Linked DNA regions of Coturnix japonica. The protein of the gene in region 1 interacts with the protein of each later gene in a biochemical or structural test. Links are inferred from orthologs where the notes say so. Each region holds a gene or a part of one and is shown on either strand. Other genes may lie near its edges.

Evidence for each region.
Region 2: the proteins of DTL (region 1) and KMT5A form a complex in vitro, tested with the Homo sapiens proteins (2 studies listed by BioGRID, with this or other methods). The link is inferred for Coturnix japonica from reciprocal best matches to the Homo sapiens genes DTL and KMT5A.
Region 3: of the proteins of DTL (region 1) and CDKN1A, one has a biochemical effect on the other in vitro, tested with the Homo sapiens proteins (3 studies listed by BioGRID, with this or other methods). The link is inferred for Coturnix japonica from reciprocal best matches to the Homo sapiens genes DTL and CDKN1A.

Annotation. Positions count from the first base shown.
Region 1 is NC_029518.1:19,447,383-19,457,524, reverse strand, and holds the start of DTL (denticleless protein homolog), read left to right. Parts: upstream 1-4,869; 5' UTR 4,870-4,946; coding exon 4,947-5,004; intron 5,005-5,146; coding exon 5,147-5,272; intron 5,273-6,090; coding exon 6,091-6,189; intron 6,190-6,516; coding exon 6,517-6,578; intron 6,579-6,669; coding exon 6,670-6,790; intron 6,791-7,216; coding exon 7,217-7,282; intron 7,283-8,018; coding exon 8,019-8,134; intron 8,135-8,923; coding exon 8,924-8,997; intron 8,998-10,142. Other genes in the region: INTS7 (integrator complex subunit 7), read right to left, coding at 2-124, 1,073-1,272, 1,431-1,477, 1,842-1,979, 3,167-3,313, 4,390-4,519, 4,613-4,703. UniProt on the Homo sapiens protein: Substrate-specific adapter of a DCX (DDB1-CUL4-X-box) E3 ubiquitin-protein ligase complex required for cell cycle control, DNA damage response and translesion DNA synthesis.
Region 2 is NC_029530.1:4,250,838-4,261,116, reverse strand, and holds the start of KMT5A (N-lysine methyltransferase KMT5A), read left to right. Parts: upstream 1-3,378; 5' UTR 3,379-3,383; coding exon 3,384-3,492; intron 3,493-3,774; coding exon 3,775-3,869; intron 3,870-5,659; coding exon 5,660-5,816; intron 5,817-6,906; coding exon 6,907-7,126; intron 7,127-7,825; coding exon 7,826-7,910; intron 7,911-8,217; coding exon 8,218-8,277; intron 8,278-8,777; coding exon 8,778-8,968; intron 8,969-9,585; coding exon 9,586-9,796; 3' UTR 9,797-10,279. UniProt on the Homo sapiens protein: Protein-lysine N-methyltransferase that monomethylates both histones and non-histone proteins. Specifically monomethylates 'Lys-20' of histone H4 (H4K20me1).
Region 3 is NC_029541.1:1,945,366-1,955,543, forward strand, and holds CDKN1A (cyclin-dependent kinase inhibitor 1), read left to right. Parts: upstream 1-4,108; 5' UTR 4,109-4,230; intron 4,231-4,612; 5' UTR 4,613-4,617; coding exon 4,618-4,999; intron 5,000-5,322; coding exon 5,323-5,372; 3' UTR 5,373-6,281; downstream 6,282-10,178. Other genes in the region: RAB44 (ras-related protein Rab-44), read left to right, coding at 7,589-7,768, 7,843-7,957, 8,074-8,245, 8,392-8,535, 8,768-8,858, 8,941-9,036, 9,272-9,450, 9,781-10,140. UniProt on the Homo sapiens protein: Plays an important role in controlling cell cycle progression and DNA damage-induced G2 arrest. Involved in p53/TP53 mediated inhibition of cellular proliferation in response to DNA damage.

The DNA.
Region 1 (10,142 bases):
CCTGAATATTTTCTCTACTCCATGTATGTGGCATCTTGTTAGCCAACAGCTTTAAATCTTGGATTGCAAGCCTCTTCACAGCCTTTCTGGGGTCATTCTTCAAGTACTGCAACAAAAGCTGGACCTGTAACAAGATAAATTCATCATTTAAGGGGACGAGATTGTACTATAAAGATATTATATAAATATTCAAGAATATTCATGAAGGAATTTTGAAAATACTCATATGAAACTGCCATGTGTTTCCTGCCTGCTTGCTTCCCACATGGCAAAGACTGCACTGCAGTTCCTTGGCAAGTGGAATCAATCTAACAGCTGCTTTCTGCCATCCTTCACTCCTGTCTCTTCAAGCACACCTCTCTGCCACCTCCCCACATGCCCCGAGAAGCCCTAAGTGCTATTCCTGCTCTCATAGAAACACTGGTAAAAACATTCCCAAGGACCTCAGACAACACTTTGCATTGTCACGATTACACTAGTAGCAAGTATTTCAGGCATTTCTGCATGATCTGCAGTCAACAGAGAGCAGCACAGATATACACTCTGTCTCAGAAAAAAATAATAAGAAATCCACACACCCTGGCTATCTGATTTATATGTACAACATAGGCGGCTGTGTTGCAGAAATACAGCCTGTAAGCCCATGCTTACTTTCATAAAGAGCATGTGAAGTGCTTGAATGTTGTCTCAGCTAGCTCAAATTCAGTACTATTCCTGAAAGTCAGCCATCCCAAGAAGTTTTAAACAAATCAATGCAGTAAGTCAAATAGACACCAGCCTGCCACAAATGTATGGATTAAAAGGTCAATAGATTTTTATGACTTTACTATAATTAGTTGAACCTCAAATGTCACTGTGCATTCATACTTGCTATATGAATCATAATCACAAAGCCCATTATCTAAACATAAAAGCATTATATTTTGCTCATCAATGCTTTCTCACGACTTGGTTTAAAAACATAAGCTGTAGCAATAGACTCAGTCTTTCAAGATAAAGATCACAGTTTATCCTCAATAATCCCTGTTTTGTTTTAAACATGCTTTGTAGATTCATTTGAAAGAAGAATTACCTGTTTAGGAATGTCAACCAAAGAAGAAGCAGCAAGCAGAGTGAACGTGTGCAGAGTAACAATGACCATCTTGGTGGAAGGATATGATGTTACCAACTGCTGAAGCAGCTGCCGGGAGCTGGAGGCCAGGCTAGCATCATGATGCATGTGCTGTAGAATAGGGATCAACTTCAATTTCAAGTCCACAGGTGTGGCTAAACCTGTAACAGGGAACAGAGACACTGTCAGGCTATTGTACTGGCTTTTTCTGGTACTAAGACACACATTATTTGGGGTAAGGGCAATGGTATAGAGGTATTTTATATACTTATGTATAAAAAAGAAGCCCTGGATATCATCACTCAGTATTTGTACATACCTTGAATCATCTCACTGATTTTGTTACATATTCCTGCAGCAAAGTCCCTGTAGAGAAAAAGACAAAGCACCAAGTGAAATGAAAGCAAACAGGCTAAAAAAAAAAAATCAACAGAAGAACCAAACAATGAATTTTAATAATAAAAACCACCACAAGAATGCTTGCCAAAACTTAGTTATTTTAGAATCCCTACACAGGTGCATAATCAAATAATAAAATGGAAGCTTTCAAATAAGTTTCATAGGTTTTTTTAGACTCGAATTCAGACTTCCTTACACTTATTATCATGACATATAACAGCTGTGAAGGATGTTCTACCACCACTGAAGAAAATACTAAGTTCAGTAAGCAACAGTGGAGCTGTTATTCTTTGCAATGTGAAAAACGGGGGAGAAAAAAATTCCACCTTACTTTGACTGTGCAGAAAAGTTGGCAGCAGCAAAAATAGCAGCTTCAACTTCCACATTATCATGGGAATCCAAACTCTGGCGAATACTGTGATGTGCATTCTTCCTTTCTGGAATGATAGACGCCATGCTGCCCAACATCCTACAGACACAGATCAGGAAAAGGAGCAAGCACAATGACTGACTATGAAGTAATGCAAGATGAAATCAAAGGGAAGCACAGAAGGACTGGCTTAAAGTCTTGGCTTTTATATAAATGAGGGCTCTTTTACATTCACTACAGAAACAAAGACACACTGACAGCAGGCATATTGCTAAAACATGATTATGCTGGTATCAGCCTTCTGTTAGTCATTTAATGAAAACAAACAACAAAAAAGTAACCATATTGGAGTATCATTAGTGGAAAACAATTGTTATAAAGTGAGGAGCACACCATGGCATGGGGTACACCATTTTTAAAGACACTTTTGTGCCCAAGCTCTGATATCAGCGCAACAGATTTAATGCTAAAATGCATTACTGCACGCATACACAAATATATATCAATATATATCATGCGATTTAAAAGTCAGTCATTTTGGTAGTTTAGGAGAATTAAAATAGCATTTACAAAGTTGTTTCTACCTTTTCTATTCTTCCCATTAAATCTTCAAATTGAATCAATACATGTCTGAGAAGTCAAAATTAACTACATACTAAGAAAGGGAAAATTCTAGAGAGTGACTATAATGAAGCAAACAAACATCAGTCTCTCATCATTTGTTTTTTTGAGATCCTAAAGCATAAAACCATAATCTCAAAAATATAAAAAGAAATGGGTGTGTGAGATAATAAACCAAACCTCTGTTAATGACTCTCATCTTTCAACAGTGAGAACAGAAACAGTTCTGAATAGATAGGAGAAATGAATAAGCAAGGGAGAAGGAGTGCTCTGTTCACATTTTAATTCAGTCACACAGGAGTTGAAGGAAGATGAAGAAAAGATTATAATGCTGGGTACTGTTAGAGATACAGAGACCAAAGCAGCAGGACAGCAACATTAAAGATATCTTGAAGTGTGGTTTTTTCTACCCACTGGATTCCCATCTCACCTGGAGCCATCTGCACAACTCTCACATCACAAATACAAGCATGCAAAAACCTTGTTCTTCCACTTACACATCTCCTGCTCACTCCCTATGAGATGTCCCCGCTTTTGCCTTTATGATGAATGTGGAAGACAGCTCCTACACTCTGAGAAGTAGCTGATTTTGTTAGAACAGATTAGCACACCAATAAAAGAGCTACAGCTTTGAAGTAAGTTAGGTTCACTTCTGTGCTACTTACCGAAGCGTGATAGCCCGAGCAACAGGATCATTGCTATGAATCACTGAGAAAACTCTCTTCACAAACTCATCCACGTTGAGGATCTTCTCCAGGTGCTTCTCGCTCTGCTGCGTAACTTTCAGCACACACAGCCTCAGGAAGTTGTTCCTATCAGAAGACACACGTTTATCTTTACTGAGCTGTTTGATAATACAGATTCAAAAACTTCTAAACTAAATGCATTACGAAAAACATATTTAATCACAACAAAGAAGCTCTGTGCTTTAGAAATGGCTCAAGCAGGCTACCAGTTAAGGATAGAATATGAACGCACTGCTATATGTAGCACAAGTGACAAATTTCTTACTGCCTCACAGCACAAATAACATACAATGAATGTGGGTCCAACAAATCACAGAATCACAGAATGACCCGGGTTGGAAGGGACCTCAAGGATCATGTAGTTCCAACCCCCTGCCTGGCAGGGCCACCAAACATACACCTTTACTAGATCAGGTTGCCCAGGGCCCCATCCAACCTGGCCTTGAACACCTCCAAGGACGGGGCATCCACAACCTCCCTGGGCAGCCTGTTCCAGGACCTAACCACTCTCCTAGTGAAGAACTTCTCCCTAACATCCAACCTAAATCTTCCATCTTTTAACTTAAAACCATTTCCCCTAGTCCTGCTATTGTCAGCCCTTTCGAAGAGCTTACTCCCCTCCTGGGAGTAAGTTCCCTTCAGGTATTGAAAGGCTGCAACCTTCTCTTCTCCAGGCTGAACAAACCCAACTCCCTCAGCCTGTCCTCATAGGGGAGGTGCTCCAGCCCCCTGATCATCTTCGTGGCTCTCCTCTGGACCCTTTCCAAAATCTCCATGTCTTTTTTGTACTGAGGGCTCCACACCTGGACACAGTACAACAGATGGGGCCTCACAAGAGCCGAGTAGAGAGGGACAATCACCTCCCTATCCCTGCTGACCACCCCTCTCCTGATGGAGCCCAGGATCCCATTTGCTTTCCGGGCTGCCAGAGCGCACTGCTGGCTCACTGTCTGTGTGCTACTGAGAGCAGCTGCACAGCAGACCCGGCTCGGTTCGGCACAGGGCACACGGAAAAGCTCAACTTGAGGCATTCACTTTCCTCACAGATGGGACTTGCAGAATTGGGCCATTCATTTATTTGTTACGATTCCGAAGGCACCTACACAGAACTGCCTCTAGCGGAACTAAAGCACGGTACTCACCCGACCCTGAACACGTCGGCCAGCTTCAGGAAGGCGGAGTTGATGAGGATGGGGAATGGATACTTCTGGAAGAGCCGCGGGAAGCGCACCACGGCCTCGCACTGCTCGCCGAGCTTACCGGACCGCAGGCCTGCACAGAGCACCACAACGCTCACTGCTACAGCGGCACCAACCGGGCCTCTCTCGACACCCCATCCCCGCGCTCCCCCATCCCGCTCCTCACCCTTGTCCAGCTCCATGAGGGCGGAGTTGGCGTCCAGCTCCTGCTCTCCGTACCCCGCGTCCGCCAGGAACGACTTCCCCGCCGCCGCCATCGCGAACCCCGCTGCCGCCCAGCGCGCATGCGCGGCCACCCTCCCGCCACACCGACCCTGCGGCGCACGCGCACTCCTCTACGCGCGCCAACAGCCGTTCCCGCCCCGCCTCTCCTCCGCTGACCAATCCGAGCGGAGAGAGGGCGGCGCGGCGCGCCACGGGTTGTCCAATGAGGGAGTGGAGGTGCGTTTGGCGGGTCGGTCGGTGGCGGGAGTTTGGTGGCGTTCCGCGCGCTCTCGGCCATGCTGTGCCGCGCGCTGCTCCGCCGTGCCGCCGGGCACCGTGAGTACCGCGAGTACCGTGAGTACCGAGCTTACGGGCACCGGGGGCTGCCGTACAGGGAGCCCGCACGGCAGTTGGGAGCGGGGTGTGCGGCCCACGGGCCCTTCGCTTCCCAGATCGCGGTGGCCGGTGCAGTCACGGTCCGCTTGTCTCGTTTCAGGTCAGTCCTCACCGCTTCCACTGCAGCATCTCTTGGATGGCTATAGGTGCAGTAGGGAAGATGATCACCTCTCCTACGGAGAAATCGGAATGCCGGTCCCTCCCTTCGGATGCAGCTTTTCTTCAGGTACGGCCGCATCCTGGGATGCCGCGGTGTGTGGGTCCCGCTGTAAACTCGTTTCTGTTGAATGTTTCAAGATCTTTTGGCAAGCTTCAGTGTTAGCGTGTGCTGATAACAGGGAACGTGCACCTCCACGTCCTACATGTTGGGTCTTCACAGAATCACAGAATGACCCGGGTTGGAAGGGACCTCAAGGATCATGTAGTTCCAACCCCCCTGCCTGGCAGGGCCACCAAACATACACCTTTACTAGATCAGGTTGCCCGGGGCCCCTGGGCAGGTCTTGGAGACCTTTAGGGCAGAGCGCTGTTGTGTGGTACTCTGGTTGTGCCATGGGGTTATTACAGAATCGCTGACCTGTCCCAAATTGCAAAAGACCCATAAGAATCATCGAGTCTAAGTCCTGGCTCCGTGCAGGACCATCCAGCAATCAGACCCTAAAGGCCTTTCTCCAAGGCTGCTCCTCCATCTCACTTCCAAGGAAAGCACTTGGGAAACATCCAAGTGGACGGACAGGTCATAAAGATAGAGGAAAGGAACTTCCATCAGTGCTGGTGAAAGAGGGCATTGTCTTAGAAGCTGCTCCTTGACCCGCTCTATTTCCTATATACTACAGTTTAAGAACGGAATGTCTAGAAATAAATGCTTGGCAATATTTGTGCATTTTGAGAATGGAGATCACTGTGTAAATGTTACTTTATTTTTTCTAGCTGTCCATTAGGTGTGCACCCCACTTAAAGTGCCTGTACTCCCCTCACAAAGGGAAGAGGCACAATTGTGGATCAGCCTTGTAATAGATGATTACGTTTCAATTTTCTTTTCAGCCCCAAATTTTGAGCACATATTGGCAGTTGCAAATGAAGAAGGGTTTGTCAGACTGTATGATACTGAAGCTCAGAATACCACCAAAGTGATCTTTAAGGGTAAGTGTTCAGTGATCTTCATTTGAAGTATGGGATGCGCTGGAATCAAGGAAAGCTTTATGCAGGCTGTTTAAACTCAATCTGGGAAGTACTTGCATCTTTTTATATACTTTGCAGAGTCCTGTTTACAAAGCAGCCGTGTGAGTGTGCTCTTACAAAAGCAATGGGAGTTGAATGGTTGAGTGTTTGCCTTGCCTGAGGGAAGCTACAAAGGAGCAACCTGTTTTCGGATTCTGATGTCTGATGTTTGTTAGCCTCCTGCAAAATACTGTCATGCTGTACTGGACATATGCACTGAACTAATTTTGGCTTTTGTTCTCTTGTCAGAATGGCAGGCTCACTCAAATGCTGTCTTTGATCTTGCCTGGGTACCAGGAGAGCACAGGATTGTAAGAAGCCTTTTCCTATCTAAGTTTATTCTTAATGTTTTGGCAATGGCGTGCAGAATATGATGAAAGCTTTTTATTCTATCCTCTGAAGGTCACTGCTTCAGGAGATCAGACAGCCAAGGTGTGGGATGTGAGAGCTGGGGAGCTGCTTGGCATATGCAAAGGTCACCAGTGTAGCCTCAAGTCAGTTGCTTTTTCGAGGTTTGAGAAAGGTAAATGTTGGCATTTCTTCTTGTCTTTTTTTCCCCCTTCTTCTCTCCAATTACCACTTCTATTCTTACGGGGCTAAAAAAGGGCTTTGGAATCTGTTGGTTGCACAAAGTACAGGTGGGCTGAGCAGTGACCTAAGTAGTGTTGGAACCTTGCAGTGATCTGATACTGTCTGCGTGTCTCTGATCTCAGGCAGTTTTAAGACATGGCATTGAAGTCACTCAGTCCTCACTTACAAACATAAATCTGGAAATACTCTTTGTAAGCACTTTTTCCTACAGTAGCACTAAGGAAAGACCATAAAGAATCTAGACAGAAAACACCAAAGGCCTGATTGTTGTAGTTCTAGGGGCACATAGATGGCATTGTGCTGGATTCAGTTCCTCAGCTCTTGGGAATTAATAGTGCTCTATCTCTCTCTCTCTCAGCTGTTTTCTGTACTGGAGGCAGAGATGGAAACATCATGGTTTGGGACACCAGATGCAACAAGAAAGGTAATTGAACTTTCAGATATGTATTAATAAAGCTCCTTAGCTCCTGTAGAAATAGTGCTCCAATGTACTTACTGGAGTCATGCTTTTGATTACAGATAGGTGATACTTCGGTAAGAAGATTGCCAGGTAATTAGGTACTGCTTTAGTACAGTGAGAGGACGGAATAGGTAGAATAGATCAGACTGTGTCTAACAGGTTTTTTCACTTTGTCTCAGATTGGCAGCTTGATGTCTGTGTTGCCCAGATATAACCCTGTGTATTGTTTAAGAGATAAGGTGGTACAAAACACATCATTGTGTAGGACAACACTGAGATGGGCTGGGTGAGAGCGATTCACTCAGAGTCATTGGGAGGGGGTTAATCAATGCTGGAAAGTTTCCTACCAGAATAGGAAGGAGCAAAGGAGATTGTGAGTCCTGGGAGAAACTGAATGTGTTGCAGGAACGCCTACATGCAGGGTGATGGTTCTACTCTTCTGCTTCCTGGAGCTTCTCCCTCACCAGTCAGTTCATGCCCTCGTACTTCTCAGTTCCCTGCCACCCGCAGTTTTCTGGAATGTGTCTCATCATTTTGGTACATAACTAGCAGTTGATGTTTTCAGAATACATTACTGATTTTGAAAGCTTGTCTCAGCTGCTTTTTAGGATTTATTCCAAGCTGCTGCCCGTTAACGTGAAAATGGTGGCAAAATCAAATAGGTGTGGAAACTGACAATTTGTATGTATTTGTCTTTCAGATGGATTTTACAGGCAGGTGAATCAAATCAGTGGGGCACACAACGTGGTTGACAAGCAGACTCCTTCCAAGCTGAGGAAGAAGAGGCAGAACACAAGAGGACTTGCTCCCTTAGTGGTAGGTGCCAGGAAGACAGGCAGAACAGAGACCTCTGCTCTGAGGACAGTGTCATGCATAGTGGCTTTCCTAAGTAATTGCAGTGAGAAATATTTGGCTTGAATTCTGTAAACACTCTAATTTGTTTTTGCGGAGTTAGGTTTTTGTGTCATGGTCACTTGCTCTGGCTAATTTTAGACATTGTTTTCTAATAACTTACATGCCATCAGAGCTGTCTTTGTGTAAATACCATGTGAAAATACATCTGTTTTTTCCAGAGAGAAAATGAGTGGCTACATTTTCTGCTTTTGAAGGGTGGGAAAGGAAGGGCTCCAATTTTTTTTCCTTTCTTTCCCTTTTTATTCCCTCCACAGTACACCTCCCAAATGTGACCACATAAACAACAGCCTCTCATTCCTGAATAAGATCTCTTATTCCATCTATTAAATGCTCTCATGGAACTCTCTTTTTTCTGACCTGTGAGGTGTAATCTTATGCTGACCAATTCCTGTGGTCCTTTAACCACAATGCTGAGCAGGGTTAAAGGATTATTGTCTCCTAAATGAAATCTAGTTTTCCACCTTCTCCTGCCTGCAATGAGCAACTTGCTGGAGAACACAAAGCAGACTCTAGCAGGAGGGAGCCTGAGAAGCTCAGGCTAATTGTAGAGCAAAACACAGGCTGGCCTATGGACAAGAAAAGTGTAGATTGCTGGAGAGGTGGTGTCCTCAATATTCACTTGGCCTTCAGCTTAGCAGCAAGACTCTGTTGACCATGAAAGGAAACGAAGTTCTTTTTTCTCTCCTCAAGGATTTCCAGCAGAGTGTAACTGTGGTGCTGCTTCAAGATGAACATACCCTTATCTCTGCAGGAGCTGTTGATGGGTAAGAAAGGAAGATACATGCTTTTCTGTTTGTTTTTCTTAGTGACACAGAAAGATTGGGAGGTTCTTTGTCTAAGGTCACAGTGGCTCACAAAGCTACCATTACTACATAGATTGCTCCAAAAGTAATGCCTCCTGTTTATTTCCATGAAAACTATAACAGGTACATAGAGCACAGTAACACTATTTGATAGAGCAAATTCTCATCTACAAAACACTACTTTTCAACATAGTCACTGCCATTAGCTATGCATTTTTCCCAGTGATGAGCAGGATCCTGCATGCTGTGCTCATAAGTATCTGCACCAGTAGAGGTGACCCACTGTTGCTGTCGCCACTGCTGAAACATACCTCTTACCTCCTCAGTGTGCTCGCATCCACCATTTGGACTCCAATGTCCTTCTCTGACATGAATCGACATAATAAATAGAATGCATTACTTTTGGGGTATCCCTAGTATTAGAATAGAGTTAGCAGAACCTGCTGCCAGCTTGCATTGCCAAAGCTGAATAGTTCTTTCCTTCCTTACCCAAGACTGCTGTGCCTAAATGGTAAATATTAACTTTAGTATAGCTATGGGGCAATGTGGATGCAGTAATGTATGTAATGTAAGCAGACTATTGTTAGGCAGAGAGCTGTTTTGGGATGTGAGGAGGAGACTGGGGCTTTAAATTTGTATGGGTGTACTTGAGAAAATGTTGTGTTGAGTTACAAAGGATACATTCTTTTTGATGCCAGATCTGTTGCAGCATCTTGGAGCTCAGGAAAATATCTTGCTTTTCAGTACAGAGATTAATCTTTCAGGTCTTTCACATTTCACTGTGGCCAGAGCCTTTCTGAGACACATAATATTGACTCTCCATCCCATGGTTCATGATAGAGACTTGCTTCTAGAGAGCAAGAGAAACCTCAAAGGGCTTCATTTAAAAAAAATGGAATATAAAAGCATCTTTGTTATGTCTTTTACTAGTTGAGGAAAGTTGGCTTGTGGGCTTGTGTTTTGTGTTGTATTAGTTACACAAAACAATGCTGCTTCCTCATCCATGCCAGCAGAACAAATGTGCTTTCAGCTCTGCTCCACTCTTGCTCCATTGTGCCATCACTGAACAATCCTTATTAATGGGCAGCCTGTCTTCCTATGTTTTT
Region 2 (10,279 bases), on another chromosome or scaffold:
TCCACTGGAAGCCATCTGAGATACCATTCAAATACCAATGCAGTACTAAGAACAACAGAGAAGTCCCCAGCTCTCTGAACCTCATGCTACAACCACAGCTTCAGTGTAAGGGCTGCCAGCTCCCAATCCCACAGAACAGGATTTCTACCCTGATAGGTTCCACACATCAGAAAATAACAGCATTGGAACAGCAGAACTGTTCCTCAGCTCTCCATGGAGTCAGTTGCAGGCAGAGCCGAAGGCCCAGACTTCCAAGCAGCCACTTCTGACTCCCAAGAACTGGCTTGGCAGTAAAACAAACCCCCCATGCTTTAATTCTAAGACTGTATTAAAGCATTGCACTATAGTACTGCATTAATGTAATGTACCAGGAAGAATCAGGACAAATAAGCTGAACATAATATTGTTTGTATTCCTACCATAGTAAATTCTTTGCTTTACATCATGAGCTCAAGGCTTCAAATTTAGGAAAAAAAAAACAAGATTGTAAAACATTTACGTATTTTTCACTGTCATTTTAATCCAGACAACTCAGGTATTTCAAAGTTTAGCACCGAGTTAATTCTTAACTAGAGCTTTTTTTTCCTAAAAGAATAACACTGACTGTTGGAATGATGTACTAAATTGTGTCAACTGCTCTTTAAGCCTTTCAATTACCGCGCTATCAAACACCAACAGCAAGGCTATCAAACTGCAAGAGCTCCAACTTACAACCTCAAGGCACACAACGCCATCAGGTGAAACTAAAAACGAAATAGCGGAGAAACAGAAGAGAAACCAACGCGGCCGCTCTCAGCGCCTTCAGACCATCGGGGCGTTTTAACGCTGCTCACGACTCACCCGGCGATCCCCGTGTGCTGAGATCTCGGCGTTACAACTGTCCGAGGGCTGGGGCCGCTCCGCTCGGCGGGGCTCAGGCTGCGGCCGCTCCCAACAGCCGCCCCGGGGCTCGGCCGTGCCCGAGGAACCGCCGCCGCCGCAGCCGGAGGGTCGCAGCCCGCAGTCTCACCAACACGTGTTCCGGACATAAACTTCCGGGTTGGGGCCAGAATTGGCTGCGTAATTGTGTCCCGTGCACTACTTTTGTTTTCAGCCCTTCCTCCCTTTTCGGATCCCGGTTATGAGGATCGCGAGGAAGGGTGAAGAACCTCCCGGCACGGCAGCGCCCAACGGCACCGAACACACCCGGCCCCTTCCCCCCCCCACAGCTCCGCTCGGGGTCCGTTCCACCCCATAACCCCGAAACGGGCACACAAAGGCGAACGGCCGAGCCCGGCCCGTGAGCGGCGTTACCAGGCACAGAGCCGCCCCCACAACCGCCACATCCCTCCCGGCCCACGAAGTTCGCGTTGAACCGAGGAGCCGCGGCCTCCCCCGCACCCGGCCCAGCGGGGACCACGAACGGGGGCGGCGGCGCGACCCACCGAGAGCCGGGACCGACAGGAGCCGCGGGAGGAGCGGGAGGAGCTGCGGGCACGGGCTGAGCGCGGCCCACACGCCTCAGAGCGACCCGCGGGCCGCACCGCGCTGAGAGGAACCGAGCCCCGGGGCACCGCGGCCGCCCACAGCGCGAAACGAACCCCAGGAACCGACGAACGGGCGGAACGACGGAGCCGGACTCACTCACTCTCTCTGGTGCCTGCTCCTCCCGCAGCCGGTCCCCGAAGTCTCCGCCGCCGGCCCCGCCGCTCGCCGCTTTCTAACTCCCGGCCGCCATCTTGGCCCTCCCTCCCCTCTCACAGGGAGGGGGAAGGGAGGGGGCTGGGGCCGCCCGCCGCCACGCACCACGTGACAGCGCCGCGCGCCGCACCCACGTGACGCCCAACCCGCCTCTGGCGCGCGCTCCGTGCCACGTGACCCGCGGCCCCCCCCACGCTCGGGCGATCTAGGAGGTCACGTGGTGTCCGCCGCTGTTCCGCGTCCTTCCCCCCCTCCCTCCGCCGCTGCCGGGTCCCGCCGCGTTCTCCGTGCGCTCCGCCATCACGTGACGTGCCGCTCCTCTTCTCGTCCCGCCTCCTCGGCAGCTAATTCCGGAACAAAATCGTCATTAAAGCGATGCCAACGAGCGTTTCCGGCATCCTCCAAAAGCGACGTCTGAGCGCCCGGGCACGGCTCCAGGGTGGCGGCCGCGGTGGGGAAGGACGATCCGGTCCCGGTTCCCGCTGGGTGGGGGAGGGGAAGGCGGAGGCGAACGGCAGCCCGCGGTCACGTGATCGCGCTCTCTCCAAGATGGCGGCCGCGGCGAGGGTGCGGCGCTCTCGCGAGATCTGCCTCCTCGCGAGGCACGATGGGAAAAAAAAGGGGGCGAGCTGACGTGAGGGCGCGTAGTGCGCATGCGCGGGTTGAGGCCGCGCTGAAGGGGCGCGCGATGCTCACGCGCATGCGCACTGTGAGGCGGCGGGCGGGGACCCGCGGCCGGGCGGTTCGTGCTCCGCTATGGGCGGATCTAAGGCCCGGAACGGATGTGGGTGGTGCTGCTGGAGCGGTGCTGTGTGCAGCTGTGTGCAGCTGTGCAGCTGGGCCCTGCACACAGATGGGAGCTCTGAGTGCTTCGTTGTGCTGGCAGCACCTCGGGGCCGGCTTTACCTCACTTGTCCTGAGGAGAAGGAAGGGGACAATGGAGCTGTGTGGGGAACAGACGCCTGTGGAACACGGCTTTGTCCTGACGAGTGTTTTATGGCCACTGATGTGACCATCGGTGCTGCAAACAGCTGAATACTGAGAACATGGTTCCTCAGCTCATTGTACATCTGCAGGGCGGTTCTCACCATGGCAGCCCTCACTGACACCTGTGTTAAACAGCCCTGAAGTGTCGCCGTGCTTCTAGAAGGACAATTTCAAAGAGTTTGAGTGTAAAATCAAAGGAAAGCGTGAGAAGCCCCGAAATCTGCTTAAAACAGAACAAAAAGCAGCAGATTGTGGTCATTCTCGGCTGGGAGAGGTGAGTTGTTGCTATTACACAGAATTACCACAGAATTACACAGGGCTGGGCAGCCCAGGCCGGTTAGAGTGATTAGAGTGACCCGGTTTCCTTTGTTGCCGTAGAGCTGAGTGTTGTTCAGTTTCCTTTGCCCTCTGGTGGCGGCCTTTAATTGCTTTAATAGACGCTGGTCGCTCCGAAAGTAATGCCTGCACTGCTGCCATAGTGCTGGGATAAAGTACTTCACCAATGCGATGGCCAATCGGTGGGCGTTCTTCCCCGGGGCAGCCAATCAGCGCTCCCGCTGCCCCTCGCACGGGCCAATCAGCGTCCAGGGGACGCACATTTAAACCCCGTCCCCGGGAGCTCGCACTGTCTTCAGTCTGACAGCCAAGGGGGCGGGGCTTGGCTCTGCGCACCAATCAGCTGCGCGGGAGCTGTTATCCGACAAACGGCTCAGCCAATGGGAGCGCGGCAGGCGGCGCGGCGTGTCCCCGCGGGGCGGTTGGCGGTGCCGGGGGAGCCGCTCGGCGGGGGCTGCTGGGCGCCGCGCCGCCACGGCATGGCTAAAGGTGAGCGGGTAACGGGGCGGGGCGTGTTACTATGGGGGGTGGCGGTGTGTGGGGAAGGGCCGGGGGTTGGTACGGGACCGGGCGGTGCTGGGCTGCGGATAGAGCTCCCGGGAGGAGCGGAGCGACGGAGCTGGCGGGACTCCTCCCCCGCGCGGTGCGCGCAGCTCAACGGGAAGGGGCTGGGCCGCCGCACGGAGACCTTTAAACATGGCGCAGGACGCGGGGAACGGGACATGACCGCGGGACACGGCTCACATGGCGCTCTGCCCTCCTCGCTTCTAGGCAGGAACATGCCCAAGGCCGGGCCGGGCGGCGCGGACAAGGCGAGCCCCGAGAATAACGACAGGAAGAGCCCCGGCCGATCCCGGGCCGGTGGGGTAAGTGTCGTCCGGGCTCCCGGTGCCCGCTGTGGGTGCGACCCCGTTGTGGGGTTCGGAACCGGGGCGGGATTCGGTGCGTCCTCACCGCATTGAGAGCGGCGGGAGCTGCTGTCAGCCAGTGGCTGGGCCCGGGCGCTGCCCTGCTCTGTTACCCCGCTGTCCTCTATCTCCCATAGAGGCATCAGGCCCGATCTTGGTCTTCCCTTTGTATTTAAACCAAGCTGGGGTGAATCTTGGCTATTGCACCAACACCCAGAGATCCTCAGCAGCCCTTAATGCGTGCTGCTGTGCTGAGAAAATCCGTGTGGTGGAGGCTCTGAACCCTGGCACAGACAAAGACGTGGCAGCCGGGAGTGCCGCGCTGCAGGCGGGGGCTGAGCGGGGAAAGGAGCGGCCCGAGAACGTGCTGTTGTGGCTCTGTCAGCGTGTGCCCACAGCACGAAGCTCCCTGGGCAGGTGGGATTGTTGCTGGCCCTCCAGGAGAGACAGCTGGATGTGGAGCTCCTGTTAAACAGCGAGAATTTCTCAGTCTGGGTTTCACTGCTTGTGTTTGTTAAAACCCAGCGTTGTTGTACGTCATCCTTAAAGCTCTGCTTCTGGAAATAAGTATCATTTCTGATGGACTTATCTCGTTGTGAGAGTGGAAAGCTCTGTCTGATTTCCCCGGGTGTTCTGCTGTAATCTTAATTCCTACTGAAGCTTTTAACTGATCTGATTTTGTGTGTCAGCTGTGTACTCTGATACTCGTTTTTGTTAATTAAAACTTTCTTATGTACTGTGTGTTTTGTTTACTTCTTTAGTTCTGGTGTGATGAGGTATATCGGAGCATTTATTTAGTCTAATGGCTGTATTTGAGCTATTTTACTCTTCTTATCCAGTGGGAGCCTTTGAATGTTTTAAAAGAAAATACATGCGGAACTTGGTTGTTTTTTATTTCAACTGAGTTGCAGTATCTGTAAGTGCTTTTATTGAGTCAAAATACAGCCAGGATGAGCTTGTTCTGACCAAGCCGTGTCTGTTTGTCCTGACGTTGGGGCCTCCCAGCTCAAATCCCTGTGCCCAACATACATATACATGCAAGCTTGGCCTGGTTGCAGAGTACCATAAAAGCAGAGGTGTCACAACTCCTTTAAGCTTTGCTGTATCTGTGCTCCTCCATGCTGGGGTCTTCAGCCTGAACCAGATTTTGAGCCTCAGCCTTGTGCTGCTTGACCGTGCCAGAGTTTCTTATGCCATCAGCAATTTTAATACTCCATTTTATACAATATAATGGATAAAAGGATAGTACTGCTCATCTCCCAAACCTCAATGAGATGGATTTCCAAAAGCTATCTTGTGTGCTGCTCAGTAGAACATATCATTAATTGCAGTAACGTTTGACACCTAATAAGCACTTGGGTAAGCTCATGCTTTCTTGGCTATGTGAGGTATGTGCTAAGCTTGGGCAGTTTCTGCTGTTATTGGTGTTTTCTTTGGCTTGCACTCTTTGAGAAGCTCAGGGTTCACAGGGTAGAAACTGGTGTTCATTATGGCTATCCTGTCCTACTACATTGCACGTGAAAGTCCTCTTGAACTGACAGTTTTGCATTAGTAAAGTTCTGGATGTTTAATCTAGATACATTTTTCATGTCATAGAAATAGCAGTGGTAGCAAGGATGATGTATTAAAGCAGTGTAACTCGCATTAGTGCAGTCAGCTGTCAGCCTTGGTCTTTGCAGTACATTATGGATACCAACTGGAGGCTCCCAGCATCTCTGTAATGTGCTTTGTATGTGAATCTGTTTTAGGAGAATGCGTTTACTGGTCAATCCAAAATCTACAGCTACCTGAATCCCAACAAATCTCCTGGTGCTCGCTCCCCACTTCAAGAGGAAAACTCTGTCATGTATCACGAAGGGAAATGTCAGGGCAAAGCACTAACTGAAACCAACAGAAAAGGAGATGGTAAGATTGATATTCAGATCGCTTGCTTTGTGAGATGTGCTTTCCTCCCCGCCCCCAGTTTTAGAGCTGTAGGAGCTGGGCAGGTCCACTGCCCCAATTGCTTTCCCAAATCCTTCACCTCTGTCAGCAAATAGAGTCTACAAGAATGATGGTGTCCTTATCTTTTTCAGTACTGAAGTCACAGATTTACCAGGTGATTATAGAAAACAAACAAAAACCCCACAGCTGGTTTGTGTTTAAAGGTGTGGTTGTTAAGTGTGGTAACTTGTTAAAATGTTTTGATTCAAATGCATTTGCAAGTAGATGTTTGAAGCCCTGTTGAGCACTGGGAAACATATGGGCTGTAGCTCCCAGCTTACACCAAGAAAACTAAGATGGCTTTAGGCTTCCCTGCAGCGGAGCAGTGGCCTTTCAGCAGTGCTTCATTTCTCTAGTGAGATTGAAGCACCCATCTTGGCCCAAGGGAATTAAACCTGATAACTGGCTTTAAATTTAAACTTTATTCAGCTTTAAGATGTGTCTCTTTACCTCTAAGTCAGACAGCTGAGGAGGATGTGGTCAGCTCAAGGTAGGATATGCTCAACCAAGAAAATGTAACAGACCTTTTTCATGTGTCTGCCCTTTTGCTCCTGTGGATTGGTCTGAATGCTATGGGCCCCTTAGCACCAGCTTCTGCAGTGACTGATTGCAGCAGTGTGGGGTGCAGAGACTTCTGCTCCTTCAGGGCACGTTGTTGATTCCTTAGTAGCAACCTGAGAACTCAGGTTGTGTTTGTACCACTGACTGTGGTGTGAGTTCAAGTTAGGTTCACTGCTGTTTTAACCTGTGACAAAGTACTTGCTCTTGTTTATACCTGTTCCTTTTCTCTTCTTGTACTTCCTTCTATACATAGCATAGCAGTGACTACTTGGAAATCCAGTGACAGTCTGCCTGGGTTTTAGCAGAAAGAGACTGTATCACTTATTCCCTTCCTCTTTCTCCTATTTGACAGAACTAGAAACTTGAAATAGAAACTATTGGAATCCATGTAAGAGTGCTCTGGTGTAGAAGCTCTTGAATTCAGAGCTGTTCTTTATTTCTTTGTCACTAGAAAAAAAGCCTGGTGGCAATATAATTGAAGGTGCTATGAAACCAGAAGACCAGAAAGATAAAGAAAGTGGGTGCAATACCTCCGTGCTCTCTTCTGATCAAAAAAACCAAGGAACCGTAGAAACTGAGAAGACACTCCTGCCCTCAGACTGTGCTGGTGAGGCCAGTGCAAAGCCAGCTCAGAAAAAGGTGGTTAAAGCAAAACGTGGACCGAGGAGGAAGTAAGTGACTTCTGGAACCGTAGAGGCTTTTCTGCTTTGGGCCGTTTTGCACTGGGGGGTCCCTTATGTATGTTTTACCTTCAGAGGCAAATACCTATAGCCAGACCTGGAATTATTGTTTCCCTTGCTTTGCTCCTCTTTTGGGGTGACAGATTTTAAAGAAGATTCTTTTTCTTTAAAAAGAGTGTATTTAAAAATACAAAATAGTGCTCAAATTATGCATCGGACTTGCAGGTGACTATTTTACAAGTGAGCAAGGCAAGAAAAACTAATTTATGAACCATTAAGACTTATTCTGTGGACAAATTATCTTGTCAGAAGCACGATGTTAGATTATTGTAGCTGGGGGAGTGCTGGCTGAGTTGATAAATTCACTCATGTTAATGAAATAATGTAACCTAACATTAATGAATTCATGGCCAAGCAGCTTTAATGACCTACATTTCTGGGAAGGCACGTGGGGAGACTTCAAAGTTGTAATGTGTTTTTTAGTGGCATCTCATTCTCTTGTGGTAAAAGGATTAGTAATAGAGTATATAGCTTCTGGCTTGGAGTGCAGAGTAGTGGCAAGAATGTAGATTCATACTGATCAATGTTTAACATAAGCTTAAAAACATGTATATTTTTAGATACCTGTTTTAGAGGTTTAAATTCAGAAGTAGTTTAAAATGTGTGTTTCCTGCTTCTGTTATTCCTTAGAACACAAGGAAGAGCTCCAAATCGAAAAGTGACAGATTATTACCCAGTCAGAAGAAGTTCCAGGAAGAGCAAATCTGAACTGGAGGTAGTGCTTCTTGATGAAATAACAGTACTTAATGTGGTAGCAAATGTTCACTGGAAGTATTGTTTAAGAATGTTACTAAATACAGAAATATTGGTCCAGTTATTCTTAGGATGGAATCAAAATGATAATGCGTTTTTGGGAGATGTTTCTTTATTCTATCTCTTTACAACTTAGTTTTGCTAGAAAGAGGGATGGCGTGGAAAAACTGAATGTCATTGGCCAATCATTTCCTGTTAGCTATGGAATGAATTGCAAAAGCTGTCAACAAGTAACTTGGTCTTGTTTTTTTGTCCTGTTACTTCCTCAGACCGAGGAAAGGAGGAAAATCGATGAACTAATTACAAGTGGGAAAGAAGAAGGAATGAAGGTAACAGCAGTGCTGACACTATGTGTTGTTTATGCAGTCTAGCTCTTAAAAGCACAGTGATTCTCAAAAAGCAGCAGTGTGTGGCTCACATTGTGGCTTCTAGGATAGTGACAGAGAAAACTTCTGTGTAAGGGTTGTACAGTTTACAGGCAGAGGCAGGAAGAATCAAGTATACAAGAGGGTAACTAGTTCAGCTTGTGCGACTGATCTTTCTATATCTCTGACATCTTTTTTCCTGTGCATGCTAATGGTACCCTTGAAATGGAAAAGCTTTGTTCTATCAGAGTGCATGGTAGTTATGTTGCATCCTGAAGTCACTCTATTTCTTCTGTTAGACAGTAAATTGTGCTTCCACAGCTTTGTCTGTGACATTCAGATGCTGTGCCATGTCATCTTAAAGACAAATGTCATGCACTCCTTTCCTAGTAAACAGTTTATTGGCAGTCATGTGAGTAGCTTCCTGTTTCCCAACTGACTTTTGTTTCTTTTCAACTCAACAGATTGATTACATTGATGGCAAAGGGAGAGGAGTAATTGCTACTAAACATTTTAATCGTGGAGAATTTGTAGTTGAATATCATGGAGATCTCATAGAGATCACTGATGCAAGAAAGCGGGAGGCTGTGTATGCTCAAGATCCATCCACAGGCTGCTATATGTACTATTTTCAGTACCTCAGCAAAACGTACTGGTAAGCTGCTTTTGCTTTGTATGTTATAGATGAATAGTAGAAACTTTTGAATGCTGGTTTGTTTGTTTCTTGTTTTCATACAGTTTTGTTAGTCTGTATTTTGTTGGCTACCATGACTTAGGGAATCATCTTGGAGCACTGTTTTGCTGTCCAAGAGCCCTCTGTACCTCTGGGCTAAAAGGAATGATGGGCAACTCACAGCCCTATTCTTAGAAGCACAGCACAATCTATATGGAGAGATGTATCTACTTGGATGAGACTTCTAGCTCTGCCATTGACTTCTTCCTAAACTTTACTGTCCTGTGAAATTAACCACTTTTCCTGAATTGTGATCGTTTTCTTTTCGAAAAGCGGTGGAAGAGAAAATCACTCCCTGCAAGTGTCTCTAACTGGGTCTTTCTTCCTTCAGCACCTGTCTCCAACCACACATGCATGCTTTATCACTCTGCTGTGGGGTTTTTCAACCCTCAACTTGAGTTCTTCCAAAGTCATTGCTCTGGGAACTTTTTCCTTTTTTCTTTCTAAGTCTTGTATGTATTCCTAATTCTTTATCCAGTTTGCACTCTGTTTTCCATCTTTTAATATTGTTCGTGCCTGATGTGTTCTTGTTCTTCCAGTGTTGATGCTACAAAAGAAACTAATCGTCTGGGAAGACTGATTAATCACAGCAAATGTGGCAATTGTCAAACAAAGCTTCATGACATTGATGGTGTGCCTCATCTCATATTGATAGCTTCCAGAGACATTAAAGCAGGTGAAGAACTGTTGTATGACTACGGAGACAGAAGCAAAGCTTCCATTGAAGCTCACCCGTGGCTAAAACATTAATTCTTCATCTTTTGGGTGTGGTTTTAGGTTGGTGTTTTGGGGGGTGGTGGAGACTGAGTGCTCTGCACGGAGTCAGTGGATCTTTTTCTCCGTCCTCCCTTCCCTCAGCTTTCTTAGTGAACTGCTTACAGTGTTCTGAGCTCCATGAAAACTACGTTTTTACTTTGCAGTATTTAAATTCCTATTACGGATTTCCAAGCAGGCTCAAGTTCTCTCTTAGACTGCCAAAACTTCTGTATTGTAAAAGGAAGCCCTCCCTAGAAAACAGAACCCTTCTACGTAGTGAGCACTGCCACCTGAGCATGCAAGGACTTGGAACTGAATCATTTGGATTGTGCTTCTGCAGTGAAATCTTGTACTCCATTTTTTTTGGGGTGGTGAACTTGACATTAGCTTTATGACAGCAAACACGCTTTTTGTATGCCGATTCCTATGTTGATGGCTTGACTGCTTGTTAGGCTTCTTTTTAATGGATGCTACTGT
Region 3 (10,178 bases), on another chromosome or scaffold:
AAGGGCCCAGAGCTGTGCCTATAGATCTGCACTTCACCCCTCCTGGCTGCACCAGGCTCTGCTGGTGGCAGCGGCCCCATCCTTGGAGCCCTCCTCATCTAATGGGAATTTGGCACCCCGTGAGCAGCCAGTAAATAACCACCCAAACCCACAGCCAGGTACAGAACCACGAGGAACAATGAGCCCTTTTGCTGCCAGCTGAAACAAAACAACAGCACAAAGCTCCGGAGCCGCTCATGGAAAGTCAGTGAAGCAATTACGTTAATGACTGTGAATGGGGCTAAAAACAATCTTGGATGAAAATGAGTGAGGGGCTGAATGAAGCAAACAATTCATAGCTCGGCTCCAGGAATATTTCCAGGACGAAGCCTTGTTTTAGGGACCATCTCACCCACAATTGGTGCTTGCTGGGACTCTATTTCCACTCTGCTGGGTCCGGTGTCTCATCAAAATGCCTTCATAAATGGAGCAAACAAGGGCTGTATATGGCAGGGAAACAGTCGATTAACACGATCCAAGTTCTTTTAGGGGCAGAGTTAATCAAGCATTCAGCGTTTTGTCATTCTTGTCTTTCTTTCCTGGGAAAATCCTATTAGTTATAAAATCACTTAATTGGGCACTTCAAAGAGCTGATGGGAAAACAGCCTTCGCCGGGATCTAAACGCCATTCAGCTGAACACTGGGCTCATTTAGACTTCTGCTGGAGCGTGAGTGTTCCATGAAGAGCCTTCATGTGTCCCCCCCCCTTGAAAGAAAAAAGCTTGTTAGCAGAGATAACAAGAAATCATAGAGATGTGCATCTTGCTGAGGACTGGATACCTGTGGTGTTGTTTTATGGCTTGGTCCCCATTGGATCCCCATGCTGCCCCTATCCAAAGTGATGCTCTTATCTTAAGTGAACGTGGAGCTCTGCTGCTTGGAGCCTGGTGGTTTCTCAGTGCTGAGGGGTACTGAGGAGGGGGACTGTTTGCTTTGTGCCCTATGGGGGATGGATTCAGCCCCAGCCCCTCCTCAGGGAGCTGTGCCAAGGCTCTGTGTCACAGATCTAGCACAGGGCAGGAGGGCTGTGGGGCAGAAGGGCCCTTTGCTGGGAGCACTGGTCAAAGGGGCTTTGTATGGAGGCATGGAAAAACTGCCAACAAACAGACACGGTGATCTCAGTCCCCTCATTATCAGGTTGGGCAGAAATGGAGGCTTTTGTAGAGCTTGAGTTCACGGTGCCTTGAAGAGTAGCAGCGTGTCACTGCCTCCATCATCCCGGCTGGCACAAAGGGGCCCGTCTGTCTGAGCCCTTCATCTTCCCTCTACGTGGATCCATCCAGTGGGAACGCTGTGCTTCCCATCAACCCGTGTCTCACTGCACCTTCCAGCACCACCAGAAGCTCAATCACTGCTGCCTTCCATCCAGCCCCCAGCACCGGGGTGCTGCTCATTGCATCCCCATTGAGGACGAAACTCCATATCAGAGCTGTGCCTGGGCATGCAACTCCACCACCGAGCTGGGCTGACTCACAGCTCCCTGCATGCAGTGAATAATGTTTGCATACGTGTCTGTGTCTGACGCTACTTCCTCTGCCCTCGGCATCCACTGGGACCTACCTGGGGATAGGAAACACTCCCAAAGGATTTTCCCAGCCCTGATAACAAACATCCTGTCTTTTTTTCAGTGCACTTTGAAGGCACTTTGAAGACAGAAGATTTACATTCGTTGAGTATATCCCTTTTTATTGCTATCAGCCCTTAGGATCTATTTGTCAAGGAGGGATTCTTCCACAGTGACGCCATGGGGAGCTGGGACAGCCCTTGTAATGGGTGAGGATGGGTTGGGGGGTGACAGCTCTGATGTGGGGCTGCACCCAGAGGGGAGAAGGAAGCGCTGCCCCCAGCACCGCTCCTGGTTCCCATCCTGCCTGGTCCCCAGTTGGACCTTCCTACCCTGCATTGTGGGACTGAACATTGTGAGTCACCTTTGGGCTTTTCCTTAGTTCCTGTATCACTTTCCGCATTAATCACACTTTTTTTTCCCCCTTTTTGCTGATGATGCCACTGCAGACTCGACCACGCACTGCCTGACCCAGACCCTGACGCTATTCCTCTCTCCACTTCCCATTTCCTCTGCAAGTTGGTTCCACACCAGCATCTCAACCCCACCCCATCCCCATCCCACCCCCATCTCAACCTCATCCCATCCCAACCCCATCCCATCCCCACCTTAACCCTATCCCAACCCCATCCCCATCTCAACCCCATCCCAACTTTATCCCCATCCCCATCACAACCTTATCCCATCCCCACTTTAACCCAATCCCAACCCCATCCCACCCCCATCTCATCCTCATCCCATCCCAACCCCATCCCTGCCCCCATCTCATCCCCACCTTAACCCCATCCCAACCCCAACCCCATTTCAAACCCATCCCAACTTTATCCCCATCCTCATCTCAACCTCATCCCAACCCCAACCCCATCTCAAACCCATCCCAACTTTATCCCCAACCCCATCTCAACCTCATCCCAACCTCATCCCAACCCCATCCCAACCCCAACCCCATCTCAAACCCATCCCAACCCCATCTCAACCTCATCCCAACCCCATCCCCATCTCAACCCCATCCCATCCCAACCCCATCCCAACTTTATCCCATCCCCATCTCAACCTCATCCCATCCCCACCTTAACCCCATCCCATCCTCAACCCCATCATCATCCCAACTTGATCCTATCCCCATCCCATCTCATCTCCATCCCAAGCCCATACCAACACCCTCCCATCACCATCCCAACTTCATTCCCAACCCCATCTCATCCCCATCTCATCCCAACTTCATCCCCAACACCATTCCATCCCTAACCCCATTCCATCTCATCCCCATCCCAACCCCATCTCATCCCAACCCCACCTCAACCCTATCCCATCCCAACTTTATCCCATCCCCATCTCATTCTAACTTCATTCCCAACCCCATCCCATCCCCATCCCCATTCCACCTCCATCCCAACCCCATCCCATCCCCAACTCCATTCCATCTCCATCCCATCCTATCCCCATGCACACCACAGAGGTTGCCCTTCCACGTGCTGGCTCCCCCTGGGATGCAGCCAAACCGATTGCATTCATCTCACATCGCTTTGCTTCATTCTTGCCTCACTGCAGCATCGCTCCTGCTCTTCCTCCATCAGTCATCATTGCAGATCACACTCCTCCATCAGCTTCAAGAAGCTGCCAGCTCTGACAGCCTCATTCTCACCCCACATCCAGAAGGATCCAACCCCAAAGCGACCACCTTGGCCTGGCCCAGAGCTGCAGGAGGAACTGATGCTGGACAACACTGCTGTGTGACGCACTGCCTGCAGCCGGACATGTCCAAACATATCCTTTATCTGCTGGGAAATGCTGGTTCAGCCTGGGAACGGATGCATTGGGGGGCTTTGCACGGGGGGCTTTGCACACTGCAGGGCTCAGCTGCAGCCCACCAGCTGCAGGCTCACCCAGCTTAGTGCACCGCCTGCCTTTGTGCTGCCATCTCCTTGCACCCCAAGCACTGTTTGCTGCCCAAACCCAATTCCTTCCCCCTATGCCCCCTGCAGCCCACCCAGCTGAGCCCTGGCACTGTGCTGTAACCCTGACGGGGAGCTGCACAGCGCTCAGACCTCCCCTGCTGTGTTTTGGGGGGGGTCATTTTGCAGCGGGGCCACACGTCCCTGCATGCAACCCGCAGCTTTGCTGCATGCAGGACATGCACGGGCTTGTTCCTGCTGCTTGCTGACCTCAGGCCAACCGGAGCTCCCCAGCCCAGCTGCATTGCTGGGGGGTCCGCTGGTAGAGCAGAGCCCACCTCGGGGGCAAAGCACCCAGGGGTGGTCCCATAGGACCCCCACCCCAACCCCCGTCACTCCCCATCATTGCAGCATCCCGTGGTGACCCAGGAGGGGCCCTTTTTACTCTTCAATTGGCAAAGCCGTATTGAAGACCCTCCCGCATCCTTCGCGTTGTATGGGGGGGGGGGGGGTCCCGCATCGCACAGTAGGCGACGACCCGCTTTCCATATGGGGGTCCGTGCAGCCCTATGGGGGGGGGCACTGAACCCCCCCCCCGATAACAGCTGCTCTGCGGTGGGGCGGGGGGGGGAAATCCCGAGCGACGCCGTGAGGCCCCTCCCACCCTCCCTGCCCCGATATAAAGGGCGGAGTGCGGGGCTGGGAACCGCAGAGAGCGACGGGGAGTGTGGGGTGAGTGCGGTGCTGGTGTCGGTACTGGGGGGGGGAAAAGAAGGGAAGGGAGAGAAACCCCAATGGGGGGTGATTGGGGACGGGGTCGGGGGGGCTTTGACAGCTCCGCTCCTCCTGTGGGCCGGACCGGGTCGGACCGGGACATGCTGGGACTTGTCTTGCTCTGAGCTCACCCCGCTGATAGGAAGCGGCTATTTTTAAGTGACCCATCCCGGGGGGGGGCAGAGCGGTCCCTCATCTATTAACGCAGTTCTGTCCGGGTTCAATGACCCCCTGTGCCAGCCTGCCCTATAGCCGAGATCATTAACACCCCAGGGGTCCTGGGGGCTCCCATTATATGCACTGGACTCATATCCCCCCCTCTATATCCCCCTCCCCACAGCCGCAATGCCGCTGGCGCAGAGCAGGACCGGCCCGATGCCGTGCAGCAGCAAAGCGTGCAGGAACCTCTTCGGCCCCGTGGACCACGAACAGATCCGGAACGACTTCGAGGAGCTGCTGAGGCAACAGCTGGAAGAAGCTCAGAGACGTTGGAACTTCAACTTCGAGACGGAGACGCCCCTGGATGGGCACTTCAAGTGGGAGAGGGTCCTGATGGCCGAGCAGCCCCCCCGGGTAGAGCCCGGCAGCAACGGGAGCTCAGCACCACGCAGGGTCCCCAGTAAGGATGGTGTCGGTGGGGCTCGTTGTGGGGCAGCCCAGCAGAGCTCGGAGCAAACCAGGGTCGGTTCTGCACAGCACTTGAAGCGGGGGCAGACCACTGTTAAAGGTGAGTGGTGGAGGGGGGATGCCCCTCATGCCATGGGACCACCCTTAGCACAGAACCATCTTTGGAGGGGAGAGGCAGCAGAACCAGCCTCGGGTGTCCCATAGGTAAAAAATACCCCCATATGGATCACCAACCTCAGTTCCCATGGCCCAAAAGTGGCTCAGCAGTGGGGATGTGATGGGACCAAGTGATGCACAGCCCCATAAATGCGGGGCTTTGAAGCTATGAGCCCACCTGGCTGGGGCTGGGGTTGGGGTTGGGGTTGGGTTGCTGCCCCCTCCTTCTGCTCCTGATACATCCCAACTTCTCTTCTTGCCCTGCAGACTTCTACAGCTCCAAGAGAAGAGTCGTCCATGACAAGCCCAGGCTGTGACTGCTGCTGGGGATGGATGCTGATGCTGCCGTGCCCTGGAGGCTGTCGTGGCTCTTTCCCTGCCCTGCACTGTCTGTACAAAGCGATACCGAGTCTATAGTTCCCTATTTATGAGTAGCTCTGGGGTCCTGAGTGGCCCATGCTGTGTGCAATGTATAGGAGGAGCCCACGGGAAGGACTAAGGACTGGAATGGAGCAGGTGGGGCTGAGGGTGTCTCCTGCCCCGTGCTGGTGTTGCCCAGCAGCATCCTGCTGTCTCATGGAGCAGCCCCATGGCCCTCCCTGCTGTGGATCACTGGGTGTGAGCCCTGCATGGAGCTGCTCCCAGTGTGACTCAGTGATGTGTTGGTCACACAGTGGTGACAAATGTACTTGGAGGTGTGTACCCTTGAGGCCGGCACAGCTCGGGAGGCACTGGGCTGCTCCAGGCTGTGCTGCCCCATTGGGTTCTTGGCGTGGTGTTGGCTGGCTGTGCATCGTGCAATGCTGACATTAAGCTGGATGTTGAGCTGCTGCTTGGCACTGCCAGCAGGGGCTGCCCCTGCAAGAAGTGCCAGCTTTTCTCCTGGACTATTTCCTACTCCAGAGCCTGACCTGGCTCCTGCTGTTGTCTCTGTGACCCAGGGATGCCCTATAGGACACAGCCCTGCTCTGGGTGCTGTCGGATCTCAGCACTTTCACTGGTTTCCCCCTCTCTGTATTGGGATTGGGATTGGCACGGGGTGTTCCCATGTAGAGGAGGAGGGTGCTGCTCCCAGCTCATACCGTGATGCACTTTGCTGTCAGAGATGCTGGCAAGTGCCCAGCATTCAATGTTTATTTATGAAAACACTGTTTTAAGGCTTCTTGGAAGGGGAAAGAACCTGTTTGTCTGCGAGTGTAACTGAATAAACACTTGTCTGGTGGAAAGAGAAGGGGTGGCTGTTAATGGGAATGGCTGTTAATGGGAATGACTGCTGTGGGGTGTGCTATGGGGGGTGGGGGGATGTTATGTGTGGGTTGGGGGTTGCTTTAAGGGTGCAGCCACAGAGGTGCAGTTTGATGCTGGTGGGGAAGGAGCTGTGATGTATCTGTGGGGGGGTTTGGGATGTCCAGCTGTGGGATGGATCCAGCAGGACAGGGATGGGGGCTCCTGCTGTGGGTTGGGGTCTATGGGTGGGTTGGGATCCATTGCTGAGCCCTTTGTGGTGCTGCAAACAGGAAACGTGTGCACGTACCGGCAGTTGAGTGCAACCCCAAAGCGGAAGGCTGCCTTGAGTAAGAGAGAGAATGACGGTGTGGGGCCGGGAGGTGCACAGCAGCGATGCAGGCTGTGTGAGGCTGATGACCCCCCAGCCCTGGGGAGCCCCACAGTGTAACCAGGCAGCACCACCCCAAAACTGAGAGCACGTGGAGAAGGTAAGGTTTGCTCAAGGGGGGGTTTGGTGTTAGGGATGCAGGGCTGATGCCTGGCCCTATAACCATCAGTGGTGACCCTCAGGCTGCCCCTCAGCAGGAAGCATCTCAGACAGCAGCCAGTGTTGAAGTGCCTTTGGTGTTTATTTTACAGCTTTTTCCGTGTTTGGTGCCTCTGTTTCATGGCACGCAATGGGCTCCGCTCGCTCTGTGGGGCAGGGGGAGGCACCGAGGGGACTTCTTGCATCATAACCTCTCCCATAACCCCCCTAAATGCTGCTGCTTTGGCTCTTAGAGGGGCTGGGACCATAGAATGGGGGTAACCCGCATCCTGACCCCCCCCTCCCCTTCCTTGGGGCTCTGCTGACCTCATAGGATGTCCCCTCCCCCCACTGATGCTGTGGGGTGGTGCTGCATGGGAGTCGAAGGGGATGGGGACCATTTTGGGGCCCATTCCTTATTTCCAGTTCACTTTAGGGCTTGGCATTGCCAGAGGAAGGGTGGGACAATGTGGGGGGTTCCCCCTCTCTCACTTCTAGTCCCAATTTGGGCACATTTCAGAGCCATGAGGTCGAGGTGGGGGTGTGAATAGAAACCTCCCCGAGGTCACAGGAGGTGACTCAGGGCTGTGAAAGCTGGAGGAGGGATGTTCAGAGATGCTGAGGAGCTCCTGGAGCCTCCATCACCCCCCACCTCCCTGCACTGTGCCATCCAAGCAGAGAGAAGTGCCTGTTTTCCTATTGCCAAACCCACTCAGGTTTCACCCTTCTGGGCTGTTTAATGGGTTTCTGGTTGCCCTCAGCAGATCCCCACTGTGAGCCATGGCTGAGCAGCGTGTGGGCTCCAAAGGGCGGCGGATGGGATCCAGCCGGAGACGGCAGCTCCGTAAGGATGCGGGTGAAGAACCACCCTGGGCAGCAGCTGTGATGCAGAGAGTCCAGGATGTCATCCAGGAGCAGCGTGGGGATGCACAGGGCTTCGTCACTCGTGGAGATATGCAGGTAAGGGATGGGGCTGGGGGAGATTGTGGGGTTCATTCCAACCCAGCCGTCCTATGGATCTGTTTTGTTGTTAGAAACTGCAGGGGGAGGTTATTCCATGCAGCACAGAGGAGCTGGAGCTGCTCTTTGATGGGATGGATGCTGCTGGCACCGGGCAGCTGAGCATTGAGGAATTCACCTCTGGGCTCCGTAAGTGACTCCATGCAGCCAGTGCTTTGCAATGGGGATGCTCATGGGCACCATGGCTGTGAGCACATGGGGTTGGAAGCATTGAGATCTGGGTGCTGAGGGCTGTATTTCTGCAGGGCAGTTCCTGTGTTCCCAAAAAATCAGTAGGGATCATCGCAGATGGAAAGCAGCATCACGGAGGAGCTGTTTGGTCCTCGCCAGCCCAACGTGGGAGGAGATGGACAGCGAGGAGAAGAAACACTTTGCAGCCTTCATGGAGCAGCTGGGAGTGGATGACAGATGGGAAGAGTGAGCAGCCAGCTGAGCACCCCTGGGTGCTTCCCATAGCTTAGTGCCCATGTGGGCACAGCTACCCCCAGGACCACACATCCCCTATCATAGGGACCCCCGTATGATCCATCCTTTCTTGCTGCCCTGCTCCTCTCTCCCGGCAGGCAGCAGATCTGGCAGCTCTGGGCCAAGCTGAGGAAGGATGAGCCCCAACTGATGGGTAACTTGGAGGCTTTCCTGGCCAAGATGAGGCACCGCATCCAAGAAGTCCGGAGCAAGAAGGAGGCCTTGGAGGAGACCCTCAACAAGTGAGTCCCTGCCAGGGAGGTGCACCCAAGGAGGAAGAAATGCACCCTCCCAGCACAGAGGATTCATGTTATGTTCATGTTTAGGCTCTATCTACAGCCATGCACCCCATGGCCCTGCTGGGTGAATGAACCTCCGGGCTGTCTGTGGGTCTGGTGGGCACTGCAGGGTCCCCAGACCCACATCTATATAGCACAGTTTGACCCTCCCAACCTCCCACCTCCCCCCCACCAGGCGTGTGGCTGAGCACAACCAGGAGGTGCAGCAGCTCTGTGAGGCCCTGGAGCAGCAGATCCAAGAGGAACGGCAGCGAATGGAGCAGGAGGTGGGGGATCCATCCACCCCTAACCTGAGTTACCCAGCACCCCAAACCCAACTGGGTGCTGATGTTCCCATTGCCATCACAGAGCACGGCCCGGAGCCGCCTGCACTGTGCAGTGCTGCAGCGAGCACTGGATGCAAGAGATAAGGACATGCAGCGCTTGGTTGCAGCACAGCAGGAGGTGAGCTGACCCCAAATACTGGTGGTGTAATTCTTTATGTTGCATTCACTGCTTTGGCCCAAACCTGGATGCTCTCTGCAGTTCATCACATTGCACCTCCATCTCTCGCTTTACCTCCATCCCTGTGATCCCTTCCATCCTTGGGAGCACTTAAACTGAGTCTCCCCACCCAAAGCCCTGGGGAAAACCCATCCCCAGCCCTCAAGCAGGGGGTGACCCTGCTGTGTGCCTGCAGCTGGAAGCACAGTGCCGCAGTCTGAGCAGCACACAACGAGCTGCCAGTGCTGAGAACCAGCAGCTGGAGGAGAACAACCGTGCATTGGAGGAGCAGCTGCAGCACATCCATGCACAGCTGCAGCAGACACATGAGTGCCTGAGGGCTGCCATGGCTCAGCAAAGGGCTGAGGAAGCGCGGTGAGTTGCACATCTGGCTGCCTTATGGGAGCTGCAGCTGATGGGGAATGAGCTGGATGGGTTTCAGCCATCTCTTGGCTTTGGGATGGTGTGAAAGGTGTGGGGATGTGGTGTGATTTGGTATGATTGGGAAGAGATGTCAGGATTATCAGCACTGTGCTGATAGGGCCCTCCCAGCGTTGGGCCAAGGACATGGGTGAGCTCTGCTGGCTCAGTCCTGAGCAGAGCAAGGCCCATCACTGCTTCCAGGGCTGCAAAGGACCCCAAAGAGGGGATGGAGGAGGTGAAGGGATGCAGTTTCCATTGTGACCCCATGCTCTGTGCTTACAGGGATGGAGTGGAGGCAGAGCTGCTCGGTGAGACACTGCCATCCCCGCAGGTACTGCAGGTGTGCACAGTGTGGGGGTGTTGGGATGTCACACAGAGCAGCATTGTGCTGTGTGGGTGCTTGGGAAGGGGTGAGCAGCAGCAGACAGGGCTGCTACCCCCATATCTTGGGTGGGAATATGTGGAAACTGAGGCAGGAAAGCTGAGAATCGTTTCAAATGGATACAAGACTCTGCCAAGCTGGTTTTGTTCCCCTCTTTTCCTCTCTTTGCTACAGATGAGTCCAGAGCAGCCCTGCTTGGAGATGCAGGTCGGGTTGGGTTCCCAGGGCAGCGAGCCCAAGCGCAGGAGCACCCACCATGTGTAAGGAGTCCTTACACCCACATCCTCCACCTTCCCCT